Arabidopsis thaliana: one gene and its partners. The protein of the gene in region 4 purifies or fractionates together with the protein of the main gene of each other region. This does not show direct contact. Each region holds a gene or a part of one and is shown on either strand. Other genes may lie near its edges.

Evidence for each region.
Region 1: the proteins of AT4G00600 (region 4) and PKT3 fractionate together in Arabidopsis thaliana (co-fractionation; one large-scale study listed by BioGRID). This does not show direct contact.
Region 2: the proteins of AT4G00600 (region 4) and AT1G30580 fractionate together in Arabidopsis thaliana (co-fractionation; one large-scale study listed by BioGRID). This does not show direct contact.
Region 3: the proteins of AT4G00600 (region 4) and NRS/ER fractionate together in Arabidopsis thaliana (co-fractionation; one large-scale study listed by BioGRID). This does not show direct contact.

The regions. Positions count from the first base shown.
Region 1 is NC_003071.7:14,046,958-14,053,082, reverse strand, and holds PKT3 (peroxisomal 3-ketoacyl-CoA thiolase 3), read left to right. Parts: upstream 1-1,682; 5' UTR 1,683-2,099; coding exon 2,100-2,189; intron 2,190-2,601; coding exon 2,602-2,678; intron 2,679-2,786; coding exon 2,787-2,871; intron 2,872-2,953; coding exon 2,954-3,080; intron 3,081-3,169; coding exon 3,170-3,268; intron 3,269-3,341; coding exon 3,342-3,409; intron 3,410-3,489; coding exon 3,490-3,597; intron 3,598-3,686; coding exon 3,687-3,764; intron 3,765-3,881; coding exon 3,882-4,014; intron 4,015-4,108; coding exon 4,109-4,205; intron 4,206-4,372; coding exon 4,373-4,496; intron 4,497-4,588; coding exon 4,589-4,697; intron 4,698-4,984; coding exon 4,985-5,068; intron 5,069-5,159; coding exon 5,160-5,269; 3' UTR 5,270-5,605; downstream 5,606-6,125. UniProt on the Arabidopsis thaliana protein: Involved in long chain fatty-acid beta-oxidation prior to gluconeogenesis during germination and subsequent seedling growth. Confers sensitivity to 2,4-dichlorophenoxybutiric acid (2,4-DB).
Region 2 is NC_003070.9:10,831,126-10,837,395, forward strand, and holds AT1G30580 (GTP binding protein), read right to left. Parts: upstream 4,511-6,270; 5' UTR 4,330-4,510; coding exon 4,243-4,329; intron 3,910-4,242; coding exon 3,742-3,909; intron 3,639-3,741; coding exon 3,515-3,638; intron 3,188-3,514; coding exon 3,096-3,187; intron 2,935-3,095; coding exon 2,836-2,934; intron 2,737-2,835; coding exon 2,623-2,736; intron 2,305-2,622; coding exon 2,240-2,304; intron 2,081-2,239; coding exon 1,964-2,080; intron 1,857-1,963; coding exon 1,781-1,856; intron 1,587-1,780; coding exon 1,494-1,586; intron 1,174-1,493; coding exon 1,123-1,173; intron 927-1,122; coding exon 828-926; 3' UTR 548-827; downstream 1-547. Other genes in the region: HERK2 (hercules receptor kinase 2), read left to right, coding at 1-357; AT1G30590 (RNA polymerase I specific transcription initiation factor RRN3 protein), read right to left, coding at 4,851-5,115, 5,385-5,569, 5,682-5,795, 5,983-6,070, 6,164-6,247. UniProt on the Arabidopsis thaliana protein: Hydrolyzes ATP, and can also hydrolyze GTP with lower efficiency. Has lower affinity for GTP. Exhibits GTPase activity.
Region 3 is NC_003070.9:23,340,528-23,344,663, reverse strand, and holds NRS/ER (nucleotide-rhamnose synthase/epimerase-reductase), read right to left. Parts: upstream 2,454-4,136; 5' UTR 2,155-2,453; coding exon 1,705-2,154; intron 1,261-1,704; coding exon 805-1,260; 3' UTR 544-804; downstream 1-543. UniProt on the Arabidopsis thaliana protein: Bifunctional enzyme involved in dTDP-beta-L-rhamnose biosynthesis. Catalyzes the epimerization of the C3' and C5'positions of dTDP-6-deoxy-4-keto-alpha-D-glucose to form dTDP-4-keto-beta-L-rhamnose and its reduction to yield dTDP-beta-L-rhamnose.
Region 4 is NC_003075.7:254,782-258,274, reverse strand, and holds AT4G00600 (Amino acid dehydrogenase family protein), read left to right. Parts: upstream 1-1,664; coding exon 1,665-1,923; intron 1,924-2,032; coding exon 2,033-2,130; intron 2,131-2,218; coding exon 2,219-2,455; intron 2,456-2,536; coding exon 2,537-2,704; intron 2,705-2,784; coding exon 2,785-2,955; downstream 2,956-3,493. Other genes in the region: AT4G00610 (DNA-binding storekeeper protein-related transcriptional regulator), read left to right, coding at 332-1,318; AT4G00590 (N-terminal nucleophile aminohydrolases (Ntn hydrolases) superfamily protein), read right to left, coding at 3,395-3,484. UniProt on the Arabidopsis thaliana protein: Catalyzes the oxidation of 5,10-methylenetetrahydrofolate to 5,10-methenyltetrahydrofolate and then the hydrolysis of 5,10-methenyltetrahydrofolate to 10-formyltetrahydrofolate.

The DNA of each region.
Region 1 (6,125 bases), on a different chromosome or scaffold from region 4:
ATATTGTGTCACATTACATTATACATTACAGTTCCACGTGGTATTTTTTATGATTTATTAAATTTGTATGTGTTAAATAAATTTATACTTCATTCATATAGATAAGAAATGTATACTTTACAGTTTACATGTGTATTTGTTATTAAAAAAAGATAATATAAAAGAATAAGATATGGGAATGTTTACCCTAAAATCATATATAAGAGATTCAATTATCTTTTTATCTCATTTAATTTTGAGTCAGGAAAAAATATATATACAGAGAAGAAACAAAATTATTAAAAATGTAAAATTTATTGGTTAACATTTTGTCTTTACAAAAAACATAGATATGTTAATATAACGAATATAGTAAATGATAGAATAAAGATATTTAGTATGGTTAAGTAAGAAAATTAACATTTTCAATAATTTCGTCTCTTCTTTGCATAGGATTTGTTTGCCAACTCAAAGTATATTAGATAAAAAGATAAGATTGAAAACTAAAGTTGATAAGATATTATATTGTTTCACAAAAATTAGACATTGGATAGATGTTTAAGATTAAATAATCTTGTTAGAAATAAAACTGAAGTCTATGATGTTGCATGTAAGAGCTAATACAGTAAAATAAAATTATAAATTAATAACATGGGGAATAAAATATTTTATTGATTTATATAAGTGTTAATTTTTAGATGTAGTAAAAATATTGAAAATGACTTTTTCACAAAAATTAAAACAAATTCAAAGAAAAACAAATAACATTTTTATCCAATTACGTTATATATTATATTCGTCCAACTTTGAACCGGAAAAGTTTATTAATTTACAATGATTATTAAATTGACAAGTATTAATATATAGATGTTTCACTCTAATAGGTTAAATGGACAACTATATGCGAAAATATTAGGGCGATATTACAATAATCACAATGTAAAGATAGACAAGCACAATGTAAAGCTGATCACGTACAGTTTTGTTTCTTCCTCTTCAATGTTAATCTCTCCATTCAGTTAGAGTTAATTTCTAGTCTGATACATAACAAAACTACAAAGTTTCTCGAGTTTTTTTGTTATTTGATAACTCTCTACACGATCTAATTTCAATATTACATGTCGGAAAACTTCCGGAAAGTACCACACAAATGTTTGTAAGATTGAGTAAAATTGAGTAAAGAGAGCTTTAATCTCCCATATTTGCAAGTCGATATAAATTTGGTATCACGGCGTGTAAGAGATCTTGACATGCTAACCTTACGCAGATGTGCATTGTTGCAGTGCCATATTGTCATTATTGGTAATATATATGCCTAAGTAAAGTTCATATTGATAAAAATTTTATTCAAACACTATTGCATCTGCTTGTCAATCGCATAATAACATTATTAATTGAAAATGTAGTTTTCACTATTATACAATATCCGTTCTTATTTCGTTTAAACCGGCCGAGCCCATAGTATTGCAAACTATCACACCATATGGGCTTTAACTTTACGTTGGTAAAACGTAAAAAGAAAATAGCGATCAAGTCTCAAGAAGGGTACTTTTAGAATTAATAGCAACTTTAAGGCGTAAATAGAAGTAATACAAATAGTTGGGGTTATTATGTAAATATGAAGAAGATTAAGATCCAGAAGATGGAAATGAAAAACACGGCACGCATTTCAAAGCCCAAAACGGGCGGGGGCAAACGTCACGCCTAATCTTATCTTCTTCTATCACACTCTCAGCTTATCTATGACTATGACTCTCATCATCAATTATTTCACACTATTAACAATCACCAAACCAGTGTGAACATTTTAATTCATAATTAGAGTAAGGTCATTAGGCTAAAAACTGTTTGATTTGGATTTTACAACTATAGGATAAGAACTTGTATCGCTGTCACAGATGATATTTTTTGGTCGTTTAAGCAAAGAAATATTACGAAAAAGAGATATTTTTTATTCTTACTTATTTTGGGATTATCATTTACCCGGAACGGGCAAAGCGGTGAGTCATCTTACCTTATAAATGATCACAAACCCGAGGACTGTGAGTTTTCGTGTAGAACAAATCCTTCTCTGAGAAAAAACAACAGATCCGAATTTTATCTTTAATCAGCCGGAAAAAATGGAGAAAGCGATCGAGAGACAACGCGTTCTTCTTGAGCATCTCCGACCTTCTTCTTCTTCTTCGCACAATTACGAGGCTTCTCTATCTGTAAGCATTCTATCACCACACACTCTCTCTCTCTCGATCTATCGCGATCTTTTGGTTGTCTTCTCTTGTGTTTGCAGTCTGGGGATTATGGATCGTTGTTGATCTGGATTCATTATATGGAATTTTCGATTTTGATTTTGATGCTGAATTATAATTTGATTCGAGGCGTGCCTGTGAGCTGAAAATTTTAAGTTTCAGCTCGATTGAGATCAAATTCAAGACTTGGATTTTGTTTTTGTATTTCGTTCACTGGATTGAGATAGATATCTTTTTTTTTTTTGTTGTTGTTTGATTTTTGTTCGATTGGGTTGAATTATCCGTGCTCTGCATGTACTGATGATTTCTTAAAAGTCAAAGCTTGATTTCAATTACTACGTGTGATCTCTTTAACGTGTTCTTTCCAAATTCCCAGGCTTCTGCTTGCTTGGCTGGGGACAGTGCTGCATATCAGAGGACCTCTCTCTATGGAGATGATGTTGTCATTGTCGCGTAAGTCCCATCTCTTATGCTTTTACTCTTTTGGTATTTGGTTTTTCAGCAACGTATGAAGATTTCTCGTCTCTTTCTGATAGACTTACACTTATTGATCCATTGCAGGGCACATAGGACTCCACTATGCAAGTCCAAACGTGGCAATTTCAAGGATACATATCCCGATGATTTGCTCGCACCTGTTTTGAGGGTCTGTCGCTATCTTTTCTATTCTGTTGTTGGTTTTTATTTCCTTTCTACGTCTATTTATAGATAGTTCTTCCTTGACATAGGCATTGATAGAGAAGACGAATCTAAACCCAAGTGAAGTAGGTGACATTGTTGTGGGTACTGTTTTGGCACCTGGATCTCAGAGAGCCAGTGAATGCAGGATGGCTGCGTTCTATGCTGGTTTCCCTGGTATGTTTCTTCTATGTACAGTACAATACAATGGTGAAAAGTCTTTGTTTTTATTTCCTGTATGCTCATCCTGTTATGTTCATTTGCAGAAACCGTGGCTGTCAGAACTGTGAATAGACAGTGCTCATCTGGGCTTCAGGCTGTTGCTGATGTAGCCGCTGCCATTAAAGCGGGATTTTATGACATTGGTTAGTGAATAACCGTCTTTAACTACGCCACATTTTTTCATAGAGAACCGAGCTGACGATATGATGGATGCAGGTATCGGGGCTGGTTTGGAGTCCATGACTACCAATCCAATGGCATGGGAAGGGTCAGTCAACCCAGCGGTACTGATTCTCTCTTATCTGGAGTCTTACTTGGCTCTGTTATTTTAATACGTACTATAATACGGACTATGTTATTTCAGGTGAAGAAGTTTGCACAAGCGCAGAATTGTCTTCTTCCTATGGGTGTTACGTCAGAAAATGTAGCACAACGCTTTGGTGTCTCAAGGCAGGAGCAAGATCAAGCTGCTGTAAGGGAACTGAACTTTTTCAGTATGGTTGTATTTTAAATAACCTATAACTTTGATCGCTATGCTAAGCTATGGAGTCATATTGCTAGGTTGACTCGCACAGAAAGGCAGCTGCTGCTACTGCTGCTGGTAAATTCAAGGATGAGATCATTCCTGTTAAGACCAAGGTATTTTTCAGATCCTTCATACAATAACTGTAACATTTAAGACTTCTCTTGGTGGATTAGTTACTGAACTTCATTCATGTTCTAGTATTAGTCAATAACGTGTGTTTTAAATTTCAGCTTGTTGACCCGAAGACTGGTGATGAGAAACCCATTACAGTTTCTGTTGATGATGGTATCCGACCAACCACAACTCTTGCTTCTCTTGGGAAGCTGAAGCCAGTGTTTAAGAAGGATGGCACCACTACTGCTGGTACTTTTCCCGAATCAATTGTTTCATTATGGAAACCACAGTTCTTATTATCACAATTTTAAATCCATTGCTTCATTTGTTCTGTCGCAAACAGGAAATTCCAGCCAAGTAAGTGATGGTGCAGGAGCGGTTCTCCTAATGAAGAGAAGTGTTGCAATGCAAAAAGGACTTCCCGTTCTTGGTGTATTCAGGTGGGTAATAATTACTTACAAAGCTACGACTGTGGAAGTCTGAAAACCGAAAAAACTGCAGAGGCTTGTGATTTCCATTTACACAGATATGCTAGTATACGTGGAAAATACATTGTTCTTTCTGTATTTGGCTTTTTCTAAGTAGCACACTATTGGACATATTGCAGGACATTTGCTGCAGTTGGTGTTGACCCTGCAATCATGGGTATCGGTCCAGCAGTTGCCATTCCTGCTGCAGTTAAGGCGGCTGGTTTAGAACTTGATGACATCGACTTGTTTGAGATCAATGAGGTATATAGCAAACAATTTCATGATCTTCTTATCACATATCTCTTCCCGCACATTCTGATGATGACCATCTGTTTGAATCCTTGTGTGTTCAGGCATTTGCATCTCAGTTTGTTTATTGCCGTAACAAATTGGGACTTGACCCAGAGAAAATCAATGTCAACGGAGGTGCAATGGCCATAGGCCATCCTTTGGGCGCTACAGGTATATCTGTTAAGAACAGGACTAAAACTGTTAAGCTTGTTCCAATTTACCAAACCATAGAGACTTGAATTAATGAGAATCTCTCAACTCTCAACCAAACCTTAAGAAATCCACAGCCGAGATATATCTTTATAAACTCTGTCCTCACTAATGGTTCTTTAACCAACTTACAAGAGCTCTATCTTGCCGCAGTCCGTCCTTTTCAAAGCATATCAATGTCTACATTGTGTCTATATAATTATAAAACGCTCATGAACAGTTGCTAATACTTGTTAAAACTCTCACAGGAGCGCGTTGTGTTGCTACATTGTTGCACGAGATGAAACGCCGTGGTAAAGACTGCCGTTTTGGAGTAGTGTCAATGTGCATTGGTATGCTTCTCACTCGAATAATTCATTGTGAATTTGGTGTCTGAAATATGTGTCTGAGGGATGGTTTTACTGATTTGGTAAACTCTGGCAGGGACGGGGATGGGTGCAGCAGCTGTGTTTGAGAGAGGAGATGGAGTTGATGAGCTTCGCAACGCAAGGAAAGTTGAAGCGCAAGGTCTTTTGTCCAAGGACGCTCGCTAGAGAGGACCATGCACCAAAACCGTTTTTCACCTCACCTCTCTCTTTTCTGGTCTTCTTGTCACTTTCTTCAGATATTATTATAGTTTCGAATAAAGCACACAACCAATGTTTGCCTGAGTCTTGTGTTGTTCTTGACCAGGTCATGTGTTTAGTATTTTTTTTAAGTGAAGGGGGATAATCTTTAAATCTTTTATATGTAAGAATATTGTTCTTCTCGAATTTCATCAGTTGTTGCTTCTAGAAATTTTAGATTTTTTGGGTGGCAGCCATTTCTATATTTCGATGGATAAGTCAAACGTTCATAAAGTCAAGGGTTCTGCCTTTTGTTTGTGTTTCATGATTTTACCTTGAATTTCATTAACTAAAACAGTGTTAATAGTAACAGTTGGGGTGGTGGCGCAGTTGGCTAGCGCGTAGGTCTCATAGCTACTGAGTGATCCTGAGGTCGAGAGTTCGAGCCTCTCTCACCCCATAATTTTATTTTCTCATAGCTATTTATATAACGTTCCTTCTAGTATTTTTTTTTCTTTTCGTTATAGTATCTTGTCTTTGATACCGGAGACGTTATAACGGCAGTATAAGACGTTATAATCATGTTCCAATGCATCCCCTCAGTTTTGTGTTAAAAACGAGCCATCAATGTTATCATATATGGAAATCATTATTGAGGCTTTGACCAATTAATTATGCGAATTGACCGACTTTGATCACTATACAGAGCAAAACAAATCCACTGAATCATTTATTTGTGTAGGTTCATCTTTTTTGGGCACCGTATTCATTTCTTATTCCATGAATTTGACGGAGTAATTTTGATTTTCTTTTTCGAGTAAGAATCTGGTCAAATATTCGATGA
Region 2 (6,270 bases), on a different chromosome or scaffold from region 4:
CTTGCGGAATGGGCTTTAAGCTGGCAAAAACAGAGAAACCTCGAGTCCATCATCGACTCAAATCTGAGGGGAAACTACAGTCCTGAATCGTTGGAGAAGTATGGGGAGATAGCAGAGAAGTGCTTAGCGGATGAAGGGAAGAACAGGCCAATGATGGGAGAAGTGTTATGGAGCTTGGAGTATGTTTTGCAGATTCATGAAGCTTGGCTTCGCAAACAGAATGGAGAAAACTCGTTTTCGAGCAGCCAAGCGGTAGAAGAAGCACCAGAGAGCTTTACTCTTCCAGCTTGTTCCAATCAAGATTCCTCAGAAACTGAGCAGAGCCAAACAGGATCTGCTCTTCACAATTCGGCTTAGAGGAAGCAATTGGATTGGCCAGTCCCAAAATAATTCTTTTGTTCTTTTGTTATAATTGATTGTGATCTATCCAGAAGCTCTTTTGTAATAGAGCTTGTAATATACACTGCAAATATAATTTCCTTAAGGTATTCGTTTAATCATTCTTTCCATTTGTTTCCTTCGCTAATAAGTGCACCAGAAGTTGTTTGCTGGGTTTCTTCAACTCATTCTCACGCACAATTACTCAAGGTTCTTTCCAAATAGTAGAGAAAAACTTATTGAAAGAGTTCTAAACGATACAGCAGGCTTAATGCTCTGTCTAAAGGCAAAGACATGTCTTAGCTAACTGCAAAATGTAAAGAGTTACAAATACTTGTTTGGTAAAGCCACTCAAAAACGGAAAATACAGCTTGGTTCCTTTCTCGGAAATGGATAGAGCTTCAAGATCCAGAGAGGACACCGCGGATAGGTGGACAGACGGATGGATCTCATTTCTTCCCACCACCGGAAACATTGAACTTGAAGAAAATGATATCTCCATCCTGAACAACATATGTTTTACCCTCCTGTCTGTATTTTCCTGCGGCCTGCATTAGTTGAAGGGATTATAAATTAGACCAAGTGTCATCGCCATGAACATTATAAATATAATCATGCCTCTTCAACGAGGATATCTTGCACAGTGGAGAGCTTCCTTAACATTTTCATGTCTGTTTTTAGAGGCTACTTACTCCACCGAGACCTTAAGAGATTGTAGAAGGAAAAGAAGTTATAGACAAATACCTTGACTGCAGGTTCATTGCCAAGTTCCTTGAGATCCTCGAATTTCATGACCTGTGACATCAACAACAACATTGGAATAAATCACATTGAATTTCAAAACAGAAAAATATTTGATTAGATATGGTTTGCATTAGGATTCTGCTTTGATATCTACAGGCCTGCATCGATACTAGGAAATCAACACCAAGATGAATATAAGAATATGCAAGCAAGCATTTGTTTTTGTCAGTGAAAACATAAGAAAGATTATATAAACTCTATAACAGAACAAATCATCAAAATCTGGAGGGGAAAGGCTTTACGCATGTAAATTTTAGGTAGGAATAAACTAGTGAATTGACCAAGATTCAAGAGAAATGAGAAAATGGTACCTCAGCACAAATAAATCCTCTCTCAAAATCAGTATGAATGGCCCCTGCAGCTTGAGGAGCCTTTGACTGCCGTCTTATTTGCCAGCACTTCACCTGCAAATCAAAGTATCATTGATGGATGTATTTTATAAACCATCAAATTCCAGTAACAATGCACTACTTGACACATAACACTGATCATGCACTACCAAATAGCTCATTACAGAACAATTATGCTTAGAAGAATTTCACAGAGAACTAGAGACTAAAGCGTGTAGTGAAGCCAAGTAAAGTGGGACTGTTAATACCTCATCAGGCCCTGCTGTAAAGAAGTATATGAGGTTAATTGCTGAAAATCCAGTTTTGATGATCCTCGGAAGAGCACTGTCAAAGCAGCAATGGCCATAAGATTCAATTTAACAGATTCATAAAGAAAAATCATCTTCAGGAGCAACTATTCATTCGCAAGGTGCTGTTCTTTTATTCCTAACCTTTGCAGTTTGTTCTCCTCACAATACTTTGCTGCTTCATCTGGGGCCATATCAGCGAGACTCCTTTCAAACACACCACTGAAAGGAATCATAGTATCACCACCGTGTTCTTGAACCCTACATAATGATGAAACAGATATTTTTAGTTTAGGAGAAGTATAATAAGGTAAGTAAATGTGTAAGCACGTAGCCATATTAGAAACTTTTGCAACAACCAAGGGGCAAAATGTTTTACTTATTATTCAACATAGTTTGTGAAAGGATATATATTAGTACCAGGCATGAATCTTTGGCAAGAACTTGTTTTTCTTCCTCTGATAGTCTCTCTCATTCAGGTTAATCTGTAATTTAAATTTCAGAGTAACCAGTGATCACAAAAAGTCCAACCAAGATGCCTTAATAGTTCTTACACTGAGATGAAACACATAGTTGAAACAAACATGAAAGCATAGAGATCAGAAATAGCTAAGGAACACACTATGGTTAAATTTGGGGGCAAATAGTGTCACAAAAATAGACAGTATGACCTACATTTTGCAAACTGACCCGAAAAAAATTGAGGGAACAAAATTGTCGACTATAGATATGAAAGAAGCAAATGCATTTATCTTGATAGAAACAATGGTAACAGAAAGAGATGAACATTCAAGACTACTCACCAAGTAAACAACGGGCTTTGCAGAAAGCAATTGGAAAGTGTTCAAAATCTCGATATCAGCTGTTTTCCAGTCCCCAAAACGGACATCCTTACCATCTTCTAGCCAAGCTTTTACCTAAACCAGAGAGGTACAGTCATTTTTTCGGCCAATTAATAATTAATGAGCAATAACATTTGCAGAACAAGACTGCATGGTTGTCAAATTATAGCATACCTTTTGCAAGAGCTCAAGTTCTATTTTCAGCTGCTTGTCATTGCTCCTCTTCATGCTCTTCTCGACATCATCAATCTTCTTTCCAACAAATTCAATATCCTAAAGTTGCACCAAAGAATTCAGTTTGAAACCAAAACAACAATGGATGAAATGAAGATCCAACTAATACAAAAAACAGACTACTGTATTAATATACACAGAAAGGATTTCACGAGTTTGGAGATATAGCAGTCAAATATCTGTTTAGAGATTTGATTCACCTTTAGCCGCAACTCTTCAGTAATGGTCTCCAAATCTCTAACAGGATCCACGATATCGTCGACATGGATAATATCAGCATCTTCAAAAGCACCTGCATATGTTCAATCGAAAAGTCACTAACCACTATATAACTGGCAAGATATCTTACTATCAGCAACTATTAAAGAAACATCCCCGTTGTTCAAGAACAGATATGCTTGGAGAGGAAAACATAAACTAACTATCGCAATGGCCCTATAGGTATCAAATGGGAAGAAAAATATATAAAGGTTTTTAACCTGTCTCTCATTGAAAAGCCTGCTCAAGTAGAAATTCAAGACAGCACAAGTAGCAGTACAGTCTAAATTATTCATCAAATCACGCATCACACTAAAACAAAGCTGGCACTAGGAGAAAAAGCGAGAGGGAAAAACCATACGTAAAACATGGAAAATTCCATCAACTGCACGAATATGGGACAAGAAGTTGTTTCCAAGACCCTGTCCTTCATGAGCTCCTCTAACAAGCCCAGCAATGTCATGAATTTCCAAGAAAGCTGGAATCTGAGGCATCAAAACAGACAGAAGTCAGCCCATTCATAAAGTAATTCAGATAGTAGTAATCTCTTCCTTAACAGCAAGTCATGAAATAAAGTTACAAACTTACCTCACTCTTAGGCTTGTAAGTTTGGCAAAGCCAATCGAACCTCTCATCGGGGATATTCACACGTGCCTCATTAGGCTCAATGGTACAAAAGGGGAAATTCTCAGCTGGAATTGAAAGCTTTGTAAGAGTGTTGAAAAGAGTAGATTTTCCAACATTTGGTAACCCAACCTGCGATGCCACAAACAATTCCCATAGTGAATAACATCAATACTTCTCCATATCATCATATCAACCATGAACAATCAACCTTAATCACTGTATCAAAGAAGCAGTTTCTTAAATATGGATTAAACATCTAAAAGAGTACAGTGACAAACACAACGAAACAAACAATATCATCATGCATCACTGATGAGTTAATAGATCTCTCCCGGCAAAACTCAGAAGAAGAAAAAAAAAAAAAACTTTTATCGAGGAAAGTATTGCGATGAGCAAATCTACCATTCACCATTCGAAATTAATCAACTTGGATTCTAAAAGAGAGATGAAGAGAAAAATTACAATTCCGATCTTGAGGTGAGAAGAGAAACGGCCAAGAATAGGCCTCTCTACGGGACCTGCATCTTTAGCTTTGGCTTTCGGAGGCATCTTTCTCAAAGTCTCGAGCTTGAAAGTGAAGCGAAGCTCTAAGATATTCTAGGGTTTTTGCTGATTAACAAAGCCTAGCAGAAGAAGCTACAAGACGCCGACGCCGAGGTTAAAGAGAGATTGCTCAGCTGGTTTACGGACCGGTTTAAATCGGAGGGTCAATTCCCGGTTTACTTTTAACCATTTGCGGGACATTTACCAAAATACAAAGAGCTATTTTTAACCAATTTTGTGGACAAAGTAAACCCAATATTGAACACTAAACCGAGAAATCAATCATTCAGCATTTCAACTTAACCAAATTAAACCGAAACTCAAATTAGGTAATCATAAACCAACTGACTAAATTTTACTTCATAGATGTTCTTCAAAATTTTGCTACAAAACCACATGCGATCAGATAATACCACAGACTCGCACAAAACTCATGTCAACTTCTTTTTTTTAGAGTTTACGCACTAGCTAAGAGATTGTAATAAGAAACCTACATTGCAAAATTGCATTCCCTCTCTCTATGACTATTAGATTAAGAAGGATTCAGGAGGACTAGTGGATGGTCTGATTCTTGAAGGCATCTTCAAGAGCCTCTCTGTTTCTCGCATGAAAGAGTGTTTCGGAGTTGTAGACATCGTGTTCATCTCACTATCAAGTTCAACGTCATCGTCAGGTTCCTCCGCACTGTCTGCATCTCCATTCACTATGACCTCATCACAAAGCTCTTCGTCACCATCTTCTCCATAAGTCGTTTTCACCATTGACCAGAAGTTGAAGTTCGGGGAGATGTAGCTTCAAGAATTGACAAGAAAACACGTGTGAGAAAGAGAGTTCAAGCCTATCCAATGCAAATACTTTGATTCATCACTTGTTTTATCATATTAAAATAATTTTCAATGTCATTTCAAGACTGTAATTAAGATGTATGCAGTAGAATTTGTATCAAATATGCCCAGGTCGGGTAAATTCATCCAGTGAGTCAAGAACCTTGTGTAAGATTCTCACATTGATTTGTCCTTACTTTGGAAGAGAAAAAATAATCAAGAGTAAAGATAGCAAACCTGCTAGACATTTTCAACAAGCACGGGTCAAACGGGAAGAATGTGTCAAGCCTTTCAAAGCCACCAAAAGCACGAGAGAGCTCAGACTCGTGTAGGTCATCGAAAATGAAGGATTCTGAGACAATGAACAGACCACCAGCTTTGGCTTGTTTAAGGAACTCGGAAACTACAGATGGAAGACACACCTGTTCACACAAAATGAATGGTGCAAGCATAATGCATTTGATACTTGGAGTGAAGACTACTTAAAATAACAGTTGAGCTATGAGAAGAAAATGATTAGTGTAAGTCACCCACCAGTAGTGGGTTTAGTTTGTGAGATAAAATTGACTCCAATGATCTAAACTGCGATTGAAAGCGAGGAATCTCCACTATGGATCTCATTCGGAAGCATAGCACATACAAGATTGCCTACAGTCATAGAAAAGTAACAACTTTAAGCGATACATGACATAATAGCATATGATCCCAAACGCCAATAAGCTTCTGGTAAGGGTGTGAACATTAACAATGATTGATAACTAGAGACGTCAATGATTTCACAGAAGAGTTCTTAAGGAATCAAAAGCCATAAGATGGTCTTAAACTTGGACTATACCTGACATCCAGAATAGAACACTTGATGTGCTTCTGGCTTCACATCATCATTGCATGTTCCGCAATATTCCGCACACTCGTCCACCAATCTAGGATTTCAGCAAAAGAGAAACTATGTTACAACAAAGCGAGACTTAAATCAGATCAAACAATTACATTTTCCATTTTTTAGCAATACGTACCTTTTCAACATGCTAGCCACAAAAGAAGCAGGCAAAAACTTTCCACGAGACAAATAGCTAGCTAGATAAGCCACTGCACTCATCCTGTTAAGTATAAAGAGAAAACA
Region 3 (4,136 bases), on a different chromosome or scaffold from region 4:
AAGCAAAATCCACAACTGAGCCCAATAGACGCGCGTGGGTCGAGTTTTTTCTTTTTTCTTTTGTCTCATATTTTGAGACTGAGAATGTTTAAAAGAAGTTTTTGAATAGATTATGTCAAATTGTGATTTTAAGTATTAAAAAATGACATGGTGTAGTCACATTCATGCATGATCATATCAAACACATACTCTGTTATTCGGCTTTGAAAGGTGAATTTCATCACTCTTACAATAACGATGCAAAGTGTGTTGCAAAATCCAAAGAAAAGTAGTATTTCAAGGAGATTCCAACTAAATCAATTGATCTTAATAATGGAATGATCGTCAATTTTGGTGTTTCAAACTGGATCCGGGACCAATGGAAACTGAAGTTTGAGGAAGTGAGTAGTGACATTCATCTGTTTACCAAAAACGCTAGCTGAACAATGCAGCATATGCTGGAAACTCTGGCAATGTTTCATTTGTTTATCATATTTACGTTCCGATCCAGATTTCAAATGTAATATTTTAGGCCAAGGCTAAGATCTTTCTGATCCTCTGGATGAAAGATAGTTTGATTAACAAGAGTAAATAATGCAAAATAGTACATTTCTTATTTGTAATGAAACAAAAGTTTATTTTAACAATACAACAACATTGGGAAAAAGAAAAACAAAAAAATAAAATACAAAAAACACAACAATTTTTTCAGCCCATAAACCCAAAAAAAAAAAAGATACTTCTTTTAAAAACCCAAACTTTTTTTGTCTTTCATTTGATTTGTTTTTTTGGGGTTAAGAACCGTTTACCTTACAAAACCACATTTCAAGCTTTAACTTCAGTCTTCTTGTTGGGCTCAAACACGAACTTGATCAGAGACTCTTTGATAGACATCAACTCAGGGAACTCAGTCTTCAACTTAGTTGCATCAAGCTCATTGTTACTCCTTGGCGCCACAATCACTTTAGCTTGTTCCTCCAATGTGAAGTTCTTCCAAGTAAAACTCGGGTCAATGTAGTCTCTGTACATCTCCAAGATCTCGTTGTGGCTCACAACACCCGGGTTAGTGAAATTGTAGATCCCGGTTAAGTTCCTCTTCGCCATTTCGATTGATATCGGGAGAAGCTCATCGAGGATTGTCATCGAGTTTGGGATGTCCACAACTTTCTCATACCGAGCAATCTTCGTGATGAAGTTTCTCGGGTTTGTTAGATCCGATGAAATCGGCATTCGCACTCTTAGCGTGCATACATTTTCATAGTTCTTGAGCAGCTCCTCCACCTGAATGATTCACCAAGATCAAAACCAGATTCCAACAGTCAATACACGAGCTTATCATGATAATGATTATATGAATCAATAAGTTCTGGTCAAAGTATTTCATCTGGAACATTTTTATTGCTAATTTAACATCTAAGACCTAAGCAATCACAAGTATTGAAACCAAATTAGCAACAGGTCAAATCTGAATAATGTCCTAAGTAACTAAAGGGGTCAAAATGTAAATTAACGAAGCTCTCACAAGTCTAATCTACAATCATCTGAAACAATTTGAGAGCTAATCTTACATTCAAAAGTCAAAACCTCAACAATTCACACAAATCAGAACTTAATTTACTAAAAAATCTTAGATTTTGGGGTTTACTCAAAGAAGAAACTAAAGATACAGATCAAATCTGAAGTTATTCATAAATAAAAGGATTGAAAATGTAAAAAGTTACTCACCATAGCTTTGGTTTTAGAGTAGAAAGATCCGGTGAAATTAGGAGTATCCTCCTCCTTGAATCCAATACCCGACCCGAGAGGATGACCCGAATCATACTCAAATATACAACCCGTAGCGTAATTGATCAGAACAAGTCCTTTCTCTCTGCAAATGTCAGCGAGAGTTAGGGTTCCGGCGACATTAGTACGAATCGTCTCAACTTTGTGAGATTCGCACCAATCAACATTAGGACGACCGGTGACTCCAGCAGCGTTGAACACGTGGCTAGGTTTCACGGATTCGATGTCGGCGACGATCGATTGACGATCTTGAAGACGACCGGAGCCGTAAGTGTAAGTGATTCCTTGAGCTTCGCAGAGTTTACCGAGTAAACCACCGATCCATCCGGTTTTACCGTAGATTAGGAAGTTAAATGAGCTTGATGATGAACCGTTTGCGTCTGCAACCATTTTTTTTTTTTGTCGGTGATCGGAAAGTTTTCGCCGGAGAGATATAAGAGAGAGTGTGTGGATCTGAAGGAGATGGTATAGGGAGACGTTGTGATCGGTGTTGCTTCTTTTTATCCCAATTTCTCGGGGAAGCAATAATCTTTTTAGTTTTTTTCTTTTGACCACCCATCGTTTCTTATTTGAGATTTGTGACCCATGAGTTTTTTTTCATGAATATTTTAGGAAATTGTTAAATTTAGGTGACATTACCAAAAATTAAGCAAAACATGTGTAGATAATTGGAGTAGTGATAAATTTTTGTTATTGAATTTAAGAAAATGTTTTCATTAGTACTTATACAACTAGTTAACTTAAATTTAACATAAAATAAACAAGTTATCCCGTTTTTAAAATTATATGATAAAAATAGTTCTATGGATAAAAAAAAATGCTATTAATATTTTTATAAGAAAACTTGTTATTATGTATAAATTTGTTGTTACTTTATACACTTTTAATAGCATAATGTAGAACTTTTATTCAGTAAATATAAGAAGACTTTATAAATTTTATTTCGTGGAAATGTCATTGAAAAAAATGTGTTAGTAGGAATAACAAAAAATTATTTCAATATATGAATATAATATGTGACAGATCACCCTAAACATGAATTATTGTGTTTCGTAGTGGTTTTGTGTGTTTAAAATAGTTTATTGTTGTCTGAATTTTAGACAGAGATCTGTGAAAGCGGTGGCGTGAGAAATTATTAGTTAAACACAAAGGAGATTCCACTTCATTGGGTGTCTGAATTTAAAATATGTATTATTCGTTGCAATTTTAATTAAAGAATCTCTTTTTTTTCTTTTTACCACCCTTTTTCTGGTCAACTACTACTCATACTATTTTTTAATAGTGAAAATTAAAAAGTTCGAAGAAAAAGAAAAAAACACTTAAAACACGTTACTGTTTTGAATTTACAATTCACAATTATCGACTATAAATGCGTATATTATATTAAGCATCCGAATCTTATGAGATCAAAGAGCTAACTTAGCAAAAGAACCCGTTAACGAATCGGTAACCCTTTAAACATAGTATCATTTCAATAAATATACAGATACATCTCAATTACAAATTAATGTAGTGATTTATATCATATTCATATGTACATAATTCCACCGATTTTTGGTACTAAATATTGTAATTGCAAAGTTTCTATATATATTGTAATTGATTTGACATCGAAACTAATGAGGTTTAAACCAAAGATCTGGATCTATACAACATTTGATATATTAAGCATATAAAACTCCAAATGTACAAATCCCCCTGCCCTTAAATACCATACACGTTATCGAAAATATATACGTATGTCACTAACATTCATTTATTAAGCAGTCAGTCCAACTTCTTTTGTCAAATTAATTAGTAGTTTAATGTTATAGTAATCGGGGGTTACCATAAGGCATAAAGTAATGTCTTTACTTTTATATATATATATATAAACAGATCGGATCTTCTGTCTGAATCGTAGTGGACAAATGATGGCGGCATGTGGTGACTTTTCTAAGATAGTAAGATCCCAAGTTCTCAATCTCAAGAGCTATTTTTTCTTTTTTAATGAATACATCATATATCTATTTCTCGGTCTAGTTGTGTTTGTAAACTCGTTTGAAAATATTAAGTTACACAAATCTTGGTATCAAATAAAGAACTAGAAAACTATACGTTAATTAGTTTTTGAGAATACCAATAATCTAAACTGGAATTAAACTAATCCATTTTTATGGACGATTTCTTTCATTGATCGGTCCAAAGATATTATGATATGGCTTATATTTTATAAAACACTGCCTTTTTTGTCGGCATCATTACTTTATATTTCCAAATGATGGTCTAGTCATCCACGGAAAACACGTTACAAAATCAGTGTTCTTACCAAAAAGATAAATTTGAATGCACAATACAAACAAAATGAATTACAATCTAGTAACAACCAGTAA
Region 4 (3,493 bases):
TTTAAATGTACACCATAAACCCCGTAAAATTAGTCAAAACAATTAATGTGATTTATGATAATTGTAATTAAATAAAAAAGATATTACTCGATTAGTAATTACTGATTAACTGAATCATTGATCTCATTAAACAATTAAAGAAAGATTACTCGATTAGTTAGCATTTAGTTTTAATTTTTTTAATATACTAAAAATACCAATCGGAAATTCAGTTACCAAAATTAGATTTATTAACATTTACTTTTTGAATTTTAGATGTACACCATAAACCCCGTAAAATTGGTCAAAGATTTATGATACTTGTAATTAAGGAAAGAACCAAATGCAATATATGGTTTCGGTGCAAAACCTTAAAACTGACCAACTTCTCAATTTTTTATTTAAAAACCCTACCAAATTTCTCTCTCGTTTCTCTCCGATGGCCAAGAACAAGACTTTGGTTACTCCATCAACGGTGAAGAAGTCATCTGACGTCGCATCTACGTCAAAGAAACTGTCGGGAGTCGCATCTCCAGCGAAGAAACCGTCGGGTGTCACATCTCCGGTCAAGAAGCCGTTGGAAGCCGTCGCATCAACTTCATCTGAGGAGGAGGAGGAAGATGAGCCTTCCAGCGATTCAGAGTCGGGATCGGAGAGTGAGTCTGACACTGAAGCTGAGCCGATGACTCTTGCTGCTGCTGCTCCTTCTTCTTCGAATGAGAAGAGACAAAGTGAAGGAAAACCAGAGGAGGAACGAGCCAAGACTGAAACAGAGACGGGGAAGAAGCCACTGTTGTTTCAGAGATTGTGGACTGATGAAGACGAGATCGTCTTTCTTCAAGGAATGATCAAATTTGCTAAGGATACAGGTAAGAATGTTTCCGAGGACATGAATGGCTTTTTCGAAAAACTTAAAGATTCGATTAGCTTTGAGGTGAAGACTGATCAGTTCGTTAACAAAATCCGGTCTATGAAGAGAAAGTATATTGAGAACAAGAAAACTACTACAGAGCATGATAAGAAGTGTTACGAATTGGCTGAGATAATTTGGGTAAGTGATGGTGATGCTACTGCTCTTGTGAAGCCAAAGAAGAAGAAGCTTAAGGTTGATGAAGAAAGTGATTGGTTCGAGAGGTCGTTTGTTGATGGTGCGTTTAAAGAATTGGGTCCGGGGGTTGATGAAGAGACATGGAAGAAGAATTGGAGTTTGGTACCGGTGAAGAAGAGGAAGAGGATAGAAGAAAAGGTGAAGTCCATGCAAGCTGATGAGCTCAAAACGACGTGGCAGAAGATTGACGTTGTGCATGAGATGAGATCTTTGATGGCTAAATATGTTTAGTCTTTATCTGTTTAGAGATGCATTTGCCTATGTTTTTCTTTTTGGTTTTGTGTTGGAACCTTTATGGCTTTCTCGTTTATTCATATGTTTTATGTTAAAGATGTTTTTTTGGATAACAAAAATAGGTGGTTTTTTGTTTGCATCTTAGTCTTCTTCCTTTGTTACTACAGACATGAAATCGTTAGATAATTATGATATGATATAAACTAATAATGATTCTAGGAGATAATTCCTAATGGATTTAAGATAAGTACATATCTTCTATATCTACCTTTACACACACGTTAACTTAGAAACAATCTACTTTGTTTTCTTCTGTTTGCCTAGTAAACAAATGGCGTCGATGATGTTTACTGATTGCTCCTCCTCCACAACGTCGCGTCTCATCCATTTATACAACCGCAATGGTGTTTTCCTCCCCCGCCCGAGCGTCAGCCAATTCAGCTTACGGACAACTGCGTCTACTTGGCGCTGCACTCTCTCCATTCGCTCCTCTTCTTCTCCATCTGCGATTGTAATTGATGGAAAGGCTGAGGCCAAAAAGATTAGAGATGATATCAAAATCGAAGTTTCAAGAATGAAGGAATCAATCGGTGTGGTTCCTGGTTTAGCAGTAATCCTTGTTGGAAAAGAACAAGGAATCCGCTACTTACGTGAGGAACAAGAAAATAGCTTGTGAATCCGTCGGAATTAAATCAGTCCAAGTTCGTCTAGCTGAAGATTCATCAGAAGAAGAGGTGTTGAAATATGTATCAGGATTCAATGATGATCCTTCTGTTCACGGAGTCCTTGTTCAGTTGCCTCTACCATCGGTAAACAAAGTCTATCTTCATATTCTTCATCATAACTTAAAATAAACAGTAAATTACAACGGTGTTTTGGGATGTCGTGTATATGCAGCATATGGATGAACAGAACATATTGAATGCGGTTAGTATAGAGAAGGACGTTGATGGATTTCACCCGCTAAATATTGGACGGCTTGCCATGCGTGGTAGAGAACCTTTATTCGTTCCATGTACTCCAAAAGGATGCATCGAGTTGTTGCACAGATACAACATTGAATTCAAAGGCAAAAGAGCAGTTGTTATTGGAAGGAGTAACATTGTTGGTATGCCAGCTGCTCTGTTGCTGCAGGTAATGATGATTCCTTCTTCAATATGCCATTTTTTCTGGTTAGGACAACATTCTTTATCGATGTTTATTTTCTAAATGTAGAAGGAGGATGCAACCGTTAGCATTATCCATTCAAGAACCATGAACCCTGAAGAACTCACAAGACAAGCTGATATCCTAATCTCAGCTGTTGGGAAACCAAACATGGTCAGAGGAAGCTGGATAAAACCGGGTGCAGTCCTCATCGATGTTGGGATTAAACCTGTTGAGGTGAGTGGAATTTTTTGACATATGGTAGTATAATGAATGATCAAATCAAATACAGTATGTGAAAGTAATATGAATTGCAGGATCCAAGTGCTGCCGGTGGAGAGCGGTTGGTTGGAGACATTTGCTATGTGGAGGCTAGCAAAATTGCATCAGCCATCACACCTGTTCCTGGTGATGTAGGACCAATGACCATAGCCATGCTTCTATCCAACACTTTAACATCAGCCAAGAGAATTCACAACTTCCAGTGACTTCAAAGATGATTGCTCGCCTTTTTTTAAATAAACAAATCTTACTTTGGTTTTTTGAAGCCAATGATTTTTGCTTAGCGTTAAGTCAGAAATAATATTATTTCGGTTCTTGTTCTTTGATTTTAGAGGTTACCTTATCCAGATTGTGAGTTCCCTGATTATCTTGCGGCTTTGCTAGATAATTATTTGGATCTTTATAAGTTTGTGTGTGAGCTTTTGTTCATTTTGGGAGTAGAACTACCATGAAGCAACTGTGGTGATTGGCAAAAGCATTTTTGCTTTATCAAATGTATCTTTTAACGTAATGTAAGTCTTGGAAGATAGCTTAAGGATGAAGTCATTACGATTGATGTTGGAAGTCATTTTGGTGTGTCCCATGACTCCTATGTTACAGATTCTGAAACTTTTCTCCACAAAATACCAAAACTTCAGAAATTAATCAGCAACAGGTTGGGCGGAGATCAATCCGGGCTTCAAAATGGTCTACCCCAGCCTCACTCATCTGTCTCCTCGTCCTGAGAATCGAAATCTGTCCAAG